Oryctolagus cuniculus: one gene and its partners. The protein of the gene in region 3 interacts with the protein of the main gene of each other region in a pairwise test. Links are inferred from orthologs where the notes say so. Each region holds a gene or a part of one and is shown on either strand. Other genes may lie near its edges.

Region 1 (4,079 bases), on a different chromosome or scaffold from region 3:
ACTTGGCCCGCTTCCCAGGGGCCTCCCTCGCCCGGACACGTGCATCGCTCGCTGGCCCGCAGCCCCGGGAGAGCGGGGGTCCTGGCCTGTTCCTCTCCGCACCCGTCGCCCTGGGGGCGCTGCGCCCAGTGGGCTCCCACGCCCTCCCGCGCTCACCATCAGGTTGGCGTTGGCGATGTGGTGCTTGACCATGCCGCCGCCCAAGATGATCATCCCCGTGCGCTTGGCGAAAATGGCCTGCGTGTTGATGAGCCGCAAGTCTGCGGGCAGAGAGCGCGCTCAGGCCCCGGCCTCAGCCCTCCAGCACCCACCTTCCCTCTGCCACTCCCAGGGCCCCAGCGCGCCTCACCCTCCACGATGTCCAGGACCAGGCCCGGGTTCTTGTAGGAATGGAAGAAGATCATGTCTCCCAGGGAGCCGTCGGTCAGCGCCGGGCTCAGCACGGGGATGTGGTTCTGCAGGCGGGCAGACAGTGAAGGGCCAGGCTGAGGCTGGGGAGCAGCCTGCCTGGGCCCCTCTGCTTGCCGCAGGAGGGCGCCTACGTGACAAACGCACACCCAGCACTTGGCCCCGGCCTGGCACTCTGGGGCGGGGCAGGAGGCCCCTGCATCCTGAGCTCAAGTCCTGGCTCCTGCGCATGTGCGCTGAGCGGCAGCAGGGATGGCTCAGGTGCCTGGGCCCCCGCCACCCACACTGGGAGACCCGAGTAGAGCTCCAGGCGCCTGGCTTCTGCCTTTGGCCCAGCTCTGGCTGTTGCAGCCATTTGTGGGAGTGCACCAGTGGATGGAAGCTCACACCGGTATCTCTTGTTACTTGTCAGACTGCTGGAATTCAGAGCGGCGAGGCCACGCTGTGTGTTAGCGGCCCTCACCTTCTGTGCCCAGTAATACACAGACTCCGGGCTGTTGATCTCCTTGCCGAGCCGGGCAATCATCTTGGAAGGCGTCCACTTCACACCCTGGGAGGGGGGATGTCAGCAGTCAGCCCACGCTCCTCTAACCCCCAGCACCACACTGGACCCCATTCCCCACCCCCCAAGACTCTTCAGCCCCCACCTCTGTGTTCTGCTCCAGCACCATCTGGTCCAGGATGGGCATCAGCCAGTCCTCAAACTTGCAGTAATTGTCATTGGGCACCAGCAGGTTCCCGATCCTGGGGACAGAAGGCACGCGGCCATCAGCCCCCACCCCAGCCTCAGCACCCCCCCCAGCGGTGCACAGGGATGCCCCCTCCCCTAACCTGTTGATCCCATTCTCCCGGAGCTCCTTCCCTCTGAGGCTGAACTCGCCCAGGTACGTGGGCGCCAGGCACTTGATGAGGTCTTCCTCCACACCTCCAGCCGTGGTCACCAGGACGTCCACCTGCAGCTCGAAGGCAGTGCAGTTGGGCCCCCGCCCCACTCCCAGGGAACGGTCCCCAACTCAGCCTCAACCCTGATCCCCAGGAAAGAGCTTGGCCACTTTGGGGGACAGGCACCACTTCCGGATGCCTGTATCCCCCCCCCTCAGAGTGCAGCCCTGGCTGCTCTACTTCTTGTTTTAGGGCATCCTGGGCAGGGGGCAGCAGGTGCTGGCTCAAATACTTGGCTCCCTGCCACCCACATGGGAGACCCGGATGGAGCTCCTGGCTCCAGCATGGCCCAGCCCAAGCTGCTGCAGCCATTTGGGGAGTGAGCCAACAGATGGAAGATCTGTCACTCTGCCTTGCAAATAACTACGTAAATCTTTAAGAATGACTGCCCAAGGCCGCAGTCCCACCATGCTGTGCTGCACGAGGTAGCGGATGGTCTCCCGGATGCCTGAGCTGATGAGGTTGGACGTGTAGCCCAGGAAAATGGTGCAGCCGGTCAGCGGGCGGCGGCTCTTGGTCAGGTCCTTGTGCTGATCTTCATCCTGCGACAGCGGCTCCAGTTTCTTCTCAATCTTGGGGCAGGGGCCGGGGTCAGGTTAAGTTTCCGGCGGCAAACGCCAGGGACCCCCCAAGGTGAGTTCCGGAAATGAGAATGCACTTTCTAGAAGGGGCCACTTCTACTGGGGACTAAAAATCCCGCCCTACAGGCTCTCCGCTTCCGATCCAGCTCCCTGCAAATGCGCCTAGGAAAGCAGCAGGTGACGGCCCGAGTGCCGGGGACCCTGCACCCGCGTGGGAGGCCCCGACGGAGTTCCCCGTTTCTGTCTCTCAAAAATTCGCCTAGAATCCATCTCCTACCAAAAATCAGGCCCCGCCCCCTACAGACGCTACGGGCAAAGGCCGCTTCGCAGTCGGTTCCCGCCCAGGGTGGGCCCCGCCCCTTCGGGCGACACACCCCCTCCGTCCTCCTGGCAGCCACGCCCTGGAGGAACCCTATTGGCTCTCCTAGAGGCCACGCCCCTTCCGGCCAGGAAGTCCCGCCCCGGGCCTCACCATGGCGTTGACTTGCTGCACCGCGCGCCCGAAGTTGGTTGCCTGGAAGCCGGTGGTGCCGAAGGCCTCCAGCAGCGCGCGGTAATCTACGCCGCGGTTGAAGTCGTAGCCCCGGACCTGAGCGCTCTCGGGCGGCAGCGCCGAGCTGTGCTTCAGCACAGCGGCCAGCGCCGCGGCGGGCGCTTCCCCCTCCGGGGAGCCCTCCATGCCCCCCGCGGCAGGGTTCTCACGGCTGAGCCCCCACCCGGGCCGGGCCCACGGCGGCCTCGAAGCGCGCTAGGCCCCAGCACGCGCGTCTCCGCAAGTGCGCAGGAAGTAGGGCTCGGGGAAGATCCGAGAGGGGATCAACGGAAGTTGCTGAGTCACATGATACTCTGGCTCCTGCGGCCTAGGGCGCCGCCATCTTGGCACGCGTGTTCCGTACTACGGAAGCCGTGAGGAGCCGTAAGGCCTTTAGGCGTGCCTGGACATTCCTGCTTTGGCGCCACCTGCTGGACACTCGTGGCGTGGCGCGGCGCTTACCTATGTTTCTGTGCTCTGAGCTTCTGAGCTGTCAGACAGGATTGGGGTCGACAAGACAGTTTCAGCCTCGAGTTTCTCCCGTCAGTGGGGATAATGCTCCCCATTCGTTCCCTCCCAAGTGTCCAGAGCCTCCACGCGCTGCAGGTGCCCCGTTTCTTTCCCGCTGTGGATGCAGCCGTCACCTCCGGGAAGCCTTCTCTGACTTCCTCTGGCTCAGGAGCCTCCTCTGGGATTCAGGGCGGACAGCAGCGCCCCCTACACACCCCGCAGAGCGACTGGGAGGCCAGCACCTCATACACCCTCCTAACCCACCTTGTGCAGGGCACGGAGGGGACCCCTTTGTCCACCCACTCTGCGGTTTATGAGGGCTTGGCTGTGTACGCTGGGGATTTACTGATTAACGAGACCCAGTGAGGCAGAAAACAGGACAACAGGGGTCGGCTCTGTGGGCATAGTGGGCTAAGCCTCTGCCCGCAGCGCCAGCATCCCATAGGGACACAGGTTCCAGTCCTGGCTGCTCCTCTTCCAATCCAGCTCCCTGCTTCTGGCCTGGGAAAGCAGTGGAGGATGGCTCAAGTGCTCAGGCCCCTGCACCTATGTGGGAGACCCGGATGGAGCTCCTGGCTCCTGGCTTTGGCCTGATCCAGCCCTGGCTCTTGCAGCCATCTGGGGAGTGAACTAATGGATGGAAGCTATCTCTCTCTCCTCTCTATGTAACTCTTTCAAACAAACAAACAAATACATCTTTAAAAAATCAATAATAGACTTAGAAGGAGGCCATTAGGGAGGGTCCATGCGGAGTCCCTGTGAGGAAATTTGCATACACAGAGACACGGAGGGGGTGGGGTACAGCCAGAAGAGAGAGGTCCAGAAGAGAGGCCTCCAGCCCCGCCAGCTCCTAGGTCTTCAATTTCTACTCCCCAGGCTTCCAAGAGACAGCGCTGTTGCATGAGCCCCCCCCCCCCCCCAGCCTGGGGTATTTGGCGATGCCAGGCAGCAGCCTGTGAGGCTGGGCTTGTTTATCTATTTACTTTTGAAAGCTGATAGAGAAAACCTCCATCAGCAGGTTCACTCCCCCAGTGGCCATTAGCAGCCAGGGCCAGGCTGGGCCGAGCGCGAGCCAGGAGCTTCTTCCAGGTCTCCCCCGTGGGTGG
Region 2 (4,421 bases), on a different chromosome or scaffold from region 3:
GAACACTTGCTAGAGGATGGTACTTCTATTCCTCATCCTCCCTGGCCAGATCCATTGGTTTGTAAATTCACTTATTCAGCAAAAACATGTTGACATGTGCTGTATTCTAAATCCTCTCCTAATATCTTCAGTGGGAGCAAAGTGGATGGCTTCTGACATCTGCTCTCAAAGGAGCACCAGGTTTCACAGTGAAGGTCTGGTATGCACAGAAAGTTAGCTCACAGAGGCTCTTGACTCTCTCTCTCTCTCTCTCTCTCTCTCTCTCTCTCTCTCTGTGTGTGTGTGTGTGTGTGTGTGTGTGTTTGCTTCACTTTGTGTCCCAGGGACTGGGAAAGTGTCCTTCCTCATTCCACAGACGATCATATTTATCATGCTGTTCTTGAATTATCCATGTATGCTTCTCTCCCAACATATCGCAAAACCCTCGGGGACAGAGACTGAGTCAGACTGAATCTCCTACCCAGATTTCCTGGAAGCCAACAGGGCACCTGGAACATGGTCAGTGCTTTACAAGATGCTGAATAAAGTCTTGGCTCGCGAGTAGAGAAGCGAGAACACAGATGAAACATGATGTCCCGCGAAGACAGGTGTGTGTGTGTGTGTGTGTGTGTGTGTGTTTCGGGACGTCCTGGCCTGGCGTTTGCCCTCTGTGTGTTTAGGGACCTCAGTACCCCACCGGTCCTTCCTAGAAGGAAGCTGGAGTTGGTGACTCTTTCCAGATGCAAATAATCTAAGCAACCTTGGGGGCAGGGAAGGAAGTAAACCGCTTGGCCACCTGCCCCAGCTTAAACACCTGCCTAGGTTTTACTGTCAAATAAAACCAATTTCCTAGCGGTTGAGTGTCAGCAGACGCGCACCAGGTTCGCGGGCTCCATTGACAAAACTGACTTCCCACGCTTAGCCCACAGAGGGCATCCTGAGCACTGATGCTGCGCACCGCCGGCGAACGCAGCCGCCGGGAGCCTCCTCCGTCCGCTCCGCTTTCCCCAAGCCGTCGCCTCTCTGCCCCCACCCCCTTCCCGTGCAAGCGCTGCCCGATCCAGTTCGCTTCCCTCCACTCTCCACATTTTCCCTTCCAGCCGTCCACTCCTCCGGATCAATGGAGAGTACGGTTCCAACTCCCAGCTCGCACGCCGCTGGCAGACACCCCGGTAACAAGTGAGCGCGCTCCGCCCCGTAGCCCCCTGCCTCCCCTCCCGTGGTCCCGCGGCTCCTAGAAGCACCGCGGCCGGCATCAGCAGCTCTCTCGCGGATTTTGCTCCGTAACTTTACCCCGCCGACGACGTGCAGCCGGCCTCAACCTTTGCATGCGCAGCCCAGCCGCGGGATGGCTCCCCGTCTGTCTCCTCCTGGTCCCCGAGGATGCTCTGTGAATTGATGCCCCACCGGCCTCGAGGACAGCTGTCCTCTCTCCCGCGCCTTGCGCTTCCTTGAGTTAATGTCCCCAGGTTTTCCCTGGGCTTGGGAGCTCTTGCACCAAATGGAACTTTTTGCTGCCGCCTGCTGCTGCTGATTCTGGACAAGGAACAAGGCTTCGAGGCAGAAGAGGCGCAGGGGAGGTGGAGGAGGAGGACGACGACGACGAGGAGGAGGAGGAGGAGGAAGAGGAGGAAGCCGAAGGGGCTCGGCGCGAGTGTGCATGTGTGCATGCGTGTGTGAGTGCATGTGTGTGAGTGCCGCCGCTGCCCAGGACCCCCGGCCCCGAAGGTGTTGGCTGAAATATGGAGAATAGTCTTGGATGTGTTTGGGTACCCAAGCTGGCTTTTGTACTCTTCGGAGCTTCCCTGCTCAGCGCGCATCTTCAAGTCACCGGTAAGAGCCTCTTTCCTTTCTTCTCCTCGCACCCCCTTCCTTTGCCTTCTCGGTTCGTTTGGCGACTGCTAGAACTGGGGTGGAGGAGAAAAAGCCATACCCTCAGCGCTCGCTCTGTCCCCCTATTCTCGCCGGTAATAAAAGAAGACTTTTTTTTTTGTCTTTCCCCTGGGGGCGGAGGATGCTGGTAGCAGGGGAGAGGGGCGCCCCTTCGCTCTTTTTTAAAAACCGGGTGCCTCTGGCGTCTTTGCGTCTGTGAATACTCGTGTTGACTTGCAGGGCTGGCGGGCTGAGGCAGCTCATGGGGATACTGTTGAAAGGAGCGAGGCTGGATCTCGCAGCTTCAGAAGCCGGCGAGGGTTCAGGGCGCCGGGGGCAGGTGCAGGAGGGCACAGAAGGGGCTTTGGGGAAGTCTGTGCGGGATGCAGGTGGTGGGGCTGAGGCGGCAGAAGTGATGGTTGGTTGTGTGCGCCTCTCGGCTGGGTTTGCATCTCTGGACTTGCCGATCTAGGACCGGGAAAGGGTTGGCTAGTGAGTGTAGGCTCCTCCGAGGAGGGGGCCGCGGCGCTCAGAGGCACCGAGTTGCCAGGGAAAGAGGGGCGCGTCGGATTTCGTTTTATTTTTGAATGGCCAGTGCCGTTGGGAAGCTAAGTCTCAGCTACCCCCCAGGACACCTCCAAACTCCAAATGATTGCTGAGGAGGTCCGGGGTGGGGGGGAAACGGGCCCGGCCCCTGGGCCAACGCAGTTTCTCATGAAAAATGTCAAAACTGTTTGGAGACAGCAAAGGGCTAGGGCAGGGGAAAAGGGAAATCTGGAAGCCGCTCCGGGCGGCTGCAGTCTCCCGGAAGACAGAGCCGGGAGGCTTCGACGGCCCAAAGAAGAAAAAAGAGCGTCGCGTCTTCTTCTACCGCCCGTTCATTCTGCGGGACCTCTCGTTCCAAGGGACCGGGCGCTGGGATGCAGGGGCTGGCCAGGTGGGGAAAGACAGGGGGCCGGTGGGCTGAGCGTTCAAATCCCTTCCCAAACGACCTTTTCCCCAGTCCAGAGGAAAGGGGAGCCCTGGGTGGGAGAGCCGCGACCTGCGCCTGCCTGGGAATGGAACTCCCTCGTGGCGGCCGAGCCCTGGGCCACCCGGAGCCAGCGGCCTGGGCTTTCTTGCTCCCGCTAGGCGCTGCATGGCCAAGGGTTGCGAACGCGAGCGGAGCACGCGCCTCCCCCGGTCTTGAGGGACCGAGCCCGCCCGAGGCAGGAATCCGCTGGCGCGTGCACACGGACTCGATTCCTCATCGGCGTTTGGCCAGACAGCGCGCGGGAGTGGAGGGGCGTGCGTGCGTGTGTCCCCGCGCGCTCCCGCGCACCCGCCTCCGCGGGCCCGTCGCCTCCTCCCGGGGCTCCTCTCCTGCAGAGCTTTGTCCTCCTCAATTACTCCCGCGGAAGGTGGGCGGGGGGGCATCCTCGCAGTAATGAATAGATGTCTTTAAGATTCCCTGCTCGAGACCTGCGGCTGCTACTGCGGGGCGAGGGACCCTCCTCAGGCGCCAAGGTTGACCTGAGCGCTCTGGGGCGGTCTGGGGGCCGCCGCGGGCCGAACGGGGCAAGTTCGGAAGGGAGCGCTGACCGCGGGGCTGAAAAGTCTGCGGACCAGGGAACCCGAGGCCCGAAGTGCGCCGGCTGCAAGTACTGCAGTAGGCAAGGTGTTCAAAAATGGACAATGATGTCGTGTTAATTGCAAGAAAGCAGTGTAAAACCATTTCCCAAGTGACTTTTGTGTGGCAAGGGGTGGGAGTGAATGAATGGAAGTGTTTTATTACTATGTAAATACATTAAACATCCCTTGCACACTTAAGTTTCTTGTCCAGAGAATGAGATCCAGAAATTGCTTTATTTTGATTCCTTTCTCAACACACAAGCCTACGCCTGAAAAAGCAGAAGAAAAATATACAAGGGATATGTCCACCGATGGACTTGTGGATCTAAATCTTTAAACTTATCTACACTTCTAAAACCAGTTCTGTTGTTTGCAAGTGAATTGTGATGCAGTTTGCACAGTTCTCGGGAAAGCGGATGGCAACCTTTTAAGATACTGGGAATTCAAATCTCTCCGTTCTGCTTTGCTCATTAATCTGAGTTTCACCTCTTTCTTTCAGTAGCAACTTCCCCCCTTTGAGAACATAGCTGGGAATTGGATGATAAAGAAAGCATATTTCATTCCATGAAAGGACCAGTAGGAGGTGCCGTTAATAAGGCCACGCGCCTAGTTTACTGACAGTGAAATTCCCGTTCAGCAGGGTGTTTTAAAGACTTTGTTGATGGGTAACAAAGGATTATGGAGAGCAGCACAATGACACTGGCCCCTTTCCCACTTTCTAGGTAAAGTCTAAAGCTGCTGCAGATTTCTATGAAGTTGTTTGCACATAACAAAGGGTATCCCTGAGCAGGGTCAGCAAAGGGTGAGGACTTGATGCTGGAGGAGGAGAAAGATGGCTTTTTAGTTGGGATTTGTCAGATGCCACCTTCTATGCTTGGCATGAAGCATGGAAGCAGGATCTCCGGATCTGAGGTTAGACAGAAGTCCTAGACGTCAGCTGTTAAAGAATGAAATGAGAA
Region 3 (4,091 bases):
CTGTCAAGAGCCGGGCTGAACTCAGCAGCAGGGCACAGGGCCTCTCACACCCCCGGCAGGTGACCCCGAGCATTCTCTCCTGCGGCCCTGGGAAATGGGGCTACTAACAAGCTGTCCAGGGCCGGAGAACATGCCGGTTCAGAGTGACAGCTCCAGGGTCCACCCAGTAATGCCTCAAATCTCCACTGGGGACTTAAAAAAAAAAATCACTGAAATTGATTCTGGTGCAAAAAACCCCGTCAAAGTCCACTAATTCAAGGGGTCTTCAAAAAGCTCCTGGGGGGCTGGCGCTGTGGCATAGCGGGTAATGCTGCCGCCTGCAACACCAGCATCCCATACGGGCACTGGTTCGGGTCCCGGCTGCTCCACCTCTGATCCAGCTCCCTGTTAACGTGCCTGAGACAGCAGTAGAAGATGGCCCAAAAGGTTGGGCCCCTGTACCCATGTGGGAGACCCAGAGGAAGCTCCTGGCTCTTGGCCCAGCCTGGCCCAGCCCTGGTCATTGTGGCCATTTGGGGAGTGAACCAGCAGATAGAAGACCTCTCTCTCTCTCTAATTCTGCCTTCCAAATAAATAAATCTTAAAAAAAAATTATCCAAGTATTTTGATTTTTTTGCATGAAAATAAAATGCCTGCCTGTTTGTGGGAGGACAATGAGAGAGGAGACACCCCCCACAGCACACCTGCTCAGAGAACATCTGGCCCGGCCTAGATCTCCTGTGTTCTCTCAAAGGGAAATGCAGTGACTTGCCCCAGGTCACACGGCAAGCTGGGTGAGTATGGAAATCTCCCGTCCCTGGTCTGTGGCAGGGCTCTGGCCATGGCACCCAAATCCCCACCCTTGGATGGAGGACTGGACTGGGACCAGCAGGTGGTATGGGTGGGTGGCGAGGAGGCGACGTGTGTCGCAAGGCCAGGTTGAGCCAGGCCGGAAGTGGACAAGGAGCAAGAAAAGCACTCTTGGGGGAGGGCATTAAGGCTAAGCTGTCCCTCCCTGGGCAAGGGGCAGGTGCGCGGGTGACCAGGGCGAGGCTCTGAGCAGGAAGTCCCAGAGAAAGATAAGGACCAGCTCCCGCGTGGGGGAGGGGTGAGGCAGCCACAGAGACACCTGCTTGGGGGCTGTTCCGGGCCTCAGTCCCCTCATCCTTGGGACCCAAAGGCAGGGGTAGCACCTGACACGCAGTAGGCCCTCAAGAAAAAGCAGTTTTCTTCCTCCCTGCTGTCTTTCCAGTCTGGGGATCCAGAGAGAAAGAATCACCAGTCTGTTCAGCAAGAAGTGACCGTGGGCAGAGCAGGTCACATAACTGCAGACAGCAGAAAACAAAGAGCCCAAAGAGACCTTGGCGCCCAGGCTCCCCATGGAGGCTTGGGGCAAAGAAGGGACCTGTCCAAGGTCCCCCTGCCTGACAGCCGCAGGTCAGGGGGGGAGGGGCCTCTGGCCTGTCACTGCCTTCATTTGGGAGGGTGGCAGGGCAGGGGGGAGCCCAGCTCTGGAGGCCCAGGGGTAGGATACACATCCCTCATGGCTTCCAGGGTGGGAGCCCGAAGAATGTCCCGGATGCCGATGACGTTCTCATGGGAGAAGCGTAGCAGGATCTGGATCTCCCTCAGCGTGCGCTGGCAGTAGGTCTGGTGTTCGAAGGGACTGATCTTCTTGATGGCCACGCGGGTCTTGCGCACGTGGTCATAGGCTGAGCTGAGAGGCCCAGAGAGACGTCGCTGCTGGTGTGGCCATGATGGTGGTGGTGATGGGGGGGGGGGAGCGGGAACCAGGCCCAGCGGGCCCCACCCAGGCCAGGGGCAGGGAGGGAGGGGACAGAGCAGGAGAGGGCTCTGGCCAAGTTATAAACAATGCTCGTTCCTTCCTGCTGTGAAGGCCTGGGCTCTCCAGGGAGAAAGCTGGGGACCAGCCAGGCCGCCTTTCGGTGACTTCACAAACAGAGGAAGACTGGCCACTCGCTGACTTCCCCTCTGCTTGACCCCCTTCCATTCTGCCCAAGCCCGGGCCTCCCTCCCCACCATGGGCTGCCTCAACCCACCACAGGGCCAGGGAGCGGGACCGAGGGGCGGGTCTGGGCCGAGGACAGCAGAGCAACTTCCGGTCGGTGCAAAGGCCCAAAGCACACAGTAGGGCTGGGCCAGCTCCCAGACCCCTCCCCAAGATGCAGGCAAGCAGGCACTCCCCACCTCTCCTCAGGCCCGGAGGCCCGAAGCCTCGCCCCACCCAGAGCCCTGCCTGTGCCGCTCCACTCCTGGGCACAGCCTCGCTTGGGGACTCCAAGGCACCCTAAGGTCCCCTCTCTCAAAAGAGGGTCCTCGTTCACCAAGACTACTGATTCTCGTCGCCCCACGCGGGTCTCTAGGGCCACCGCTCCCTCAACCCCAGACACCCAAATACCGCTGCTCCCTTCGGGGCGGAGGGCTCCCGTTCAAAGCCTCCAAGCCCCCTCCCCTAGGAACATGGGCAGCGCCCCCTCCCCCAGAAAGCACCCCAGGGCTCCTATCCCGGGCATACTCCACCAAGCCTCCAGAGTGCCCAGGTTCTACAGGCCACTCCAAGTCTCCACGGCCCAACGAGCCCCCTGCAGCCCTCCTCCGCCCCCTCCTCCGGGGTTGCCCCCTCCCTTGAGGCCGCCCCCTCCCCCGGAACGCCCCCTCACCTGACCATGCCGTACGCGCCCTCGCCGATGTACTGCAGCTGCGTGTAGCGTGGGCCCACGTCGAACGGCTGCCCCTTCACGACCTCCACTTCCCCGGGGACCCCCGGGCCGACCCCATCGGCTCCCCGGGGCTCCCCGCCCCCGCCCCCCTGAGCCGCCGCCGCCGCCGCCATCTCCACTCCTCCCCTCCCGCCCGCCCTCCCCACGGCGGCCCCGCCCGAGGCCCCGCCCCTTCCCGCCCGCGGGGCCGCGCGCGCCAGGCCCCGCCCCCGCGCGCCGCCCCCGCGCGCCCCCGCGCCCCCGCGCCCTGCGCGCGCCGCGGAGCCGGGGCGCGCGCCCGCGGACGTCACGTGGCCCTCCCCGCGCGCGTCCGGCTTTCCCGCCGCCGGGCAGCGGTGCTTGGTCGCTGCGGGCTTCCGTGTGCTGGGAGCGGGCGCGCCGGGCGGCTGTAGGCGCGGTCCATACCCCCTCGATTTCTAGGCAGCTGGCGGGTGACTTCCCCAGGGCCACCCGGCCAAGGTGTGCTGGGGCCGGACGCCCCCCACCCCGGAGTGCCTGGCCTTCTGGGACCAGAGCTGCTCCTGTGGGAGCCCCCTGGGGGTCCTCTCGGCCCTTGGTGGTTTGGCCTCCTTGAGCCAGCTCTGCTCGGCTGCCGAGGGAGTGTACTTGAAATCAGAGCCGCGTGGAGACCCACCTGCCGTTTAAGGGTGAGGCCGAAGCCCGAGGTGCTGCTGCCGGCGTGGGGTCCAGGCCCTGGCCCTCCCAGCAGCTGCAGCAGGGCCAGCTGTTGCCCCCACGTGCGTGCCAGGTGGGCAGGTTTCGTTAAAATACACTTGAAGAAGGAAAGAATCTGGGGCGGCGCTGTGACATAGCAGGTGCATCCGATATGCATCTCGGCTGCTCCACTTCCAATCCCGCTCCCTGCTAATGGCCTGAGAAAGCAGCCAAAGACAGCCAAAGTGCTTGGGCCCCTGCGTCCATGTGGGCCCATCCAGATGAGTCTCCTGGCTCCCGCCTGGCCCAGCTCTGGTTATTGGGGCCATTTGGGGACTGAATCAGGAGATGGAAGATTGACTTTCTCTCTCTCTGCCTCTCCTTCTCTGTAACTCTTTTAAAGTAATTAATCAATTAATCTTAAAAAGAAAAATCCAGCTTGTTGGATTTGGCAAAATTGAACTCACAAGAGGGTTGTCATCTTCCTGATTCTCTCAGTAGGCTGAGAGGGGCCAAGGTCAATCTTGTTCCTCACTGGATCCCCACCTCCCACCCCCATGCCTGGCACTGAAACATTAAAAAAATTTTCTTTTTGATGAATGAATCAAATTTTAAAAATATATTTCCTTTTTATTTGAAAGGCAGAGTTACACACAGAGAGAGATCTTCCATCCACTGCTTCACGCCTCAAATGGCCCCAATGGCCAGAGCTGGGCC

What was found.
Region 1: the proteins of MAPK3 (region 3) and DHPS interact in binary tests that used the Homo sapiens proteins (3 or more experiments, as listed by UniProt). The link is inferred for Oryctolagus cuniculus from reciprocal best matches to the Homo sapiens genes MAPK3 and DHPS.
Region 2: the proteins of MAPK3 (region 3) and DCC interact in a two-hybrid assay, tested with the Homo sapiens proteins (2 studies listed by BioGRID). The link is inferred for Oryctolagus cuniculus from reciprocal best matches to the Homo sapiens genes MAPK3 and DCC.

What each region holds. Positions count from the first base shown.
Region 1 is NC_091447.1:62,235,866-62,239,944, forward strand, and holds the start of DHPS (deoxyhypusine synthase), read right to left. Parts: upstream 2,831-4,079; 5' UTR 2,611-2,830; coding exon 2,404-2,610; intron 1,923-2,403; coding exon 1,758-1,922; intron 1,362-1,757; coding exon 1,240-1,361; intron 1,153-1,239; coding exon 1,056-1,152; intron 959-1,055; coding exon 872-958; intron 456-871; coding exon 350-455; intron 261-349; coding exon 157-260; intron 1-156. UniProt on the Homo sapiens protein: Catalyzes the NAD-dependent oxidative cleavage of spermidine and the subsequent transfer of the butylamine moiety of spermidine to the epsilon-amino group of a critical lysine residue of the eIF-5A precursor protein to form the intermediate deoxyhypusine residue.
Region 2 is NC_091441.1:25,985,951-25,990,371, reverse strand, and holds the start of DCC (netrin receptor DCC), read left to right. Parts: upstream 1-1,594; 5' UTR 1,595-1,721; coding exon 1,722-1,812; intron 1,813-4,421. UniProt on the Homo sapiens protein: Receptor for netrin required for axon guidance. Mediates axon attraction of neuronal growth cones in the developing nervous system upon ligand binding. Its association with UNC5 proteins may trigger signaling for axon repulsion.
Region 3 is NC_091450.1:7,472,691-7,476,781, forward strand, and holds the start of MAPK3 (mitogen-activated protein kinase 3), read right to left. Parts: upstream 2,834-4,091; coding exon 2,661-2,833; intron 1,697-2,660; coding exon 1,514-1,696; intron 1-1,513.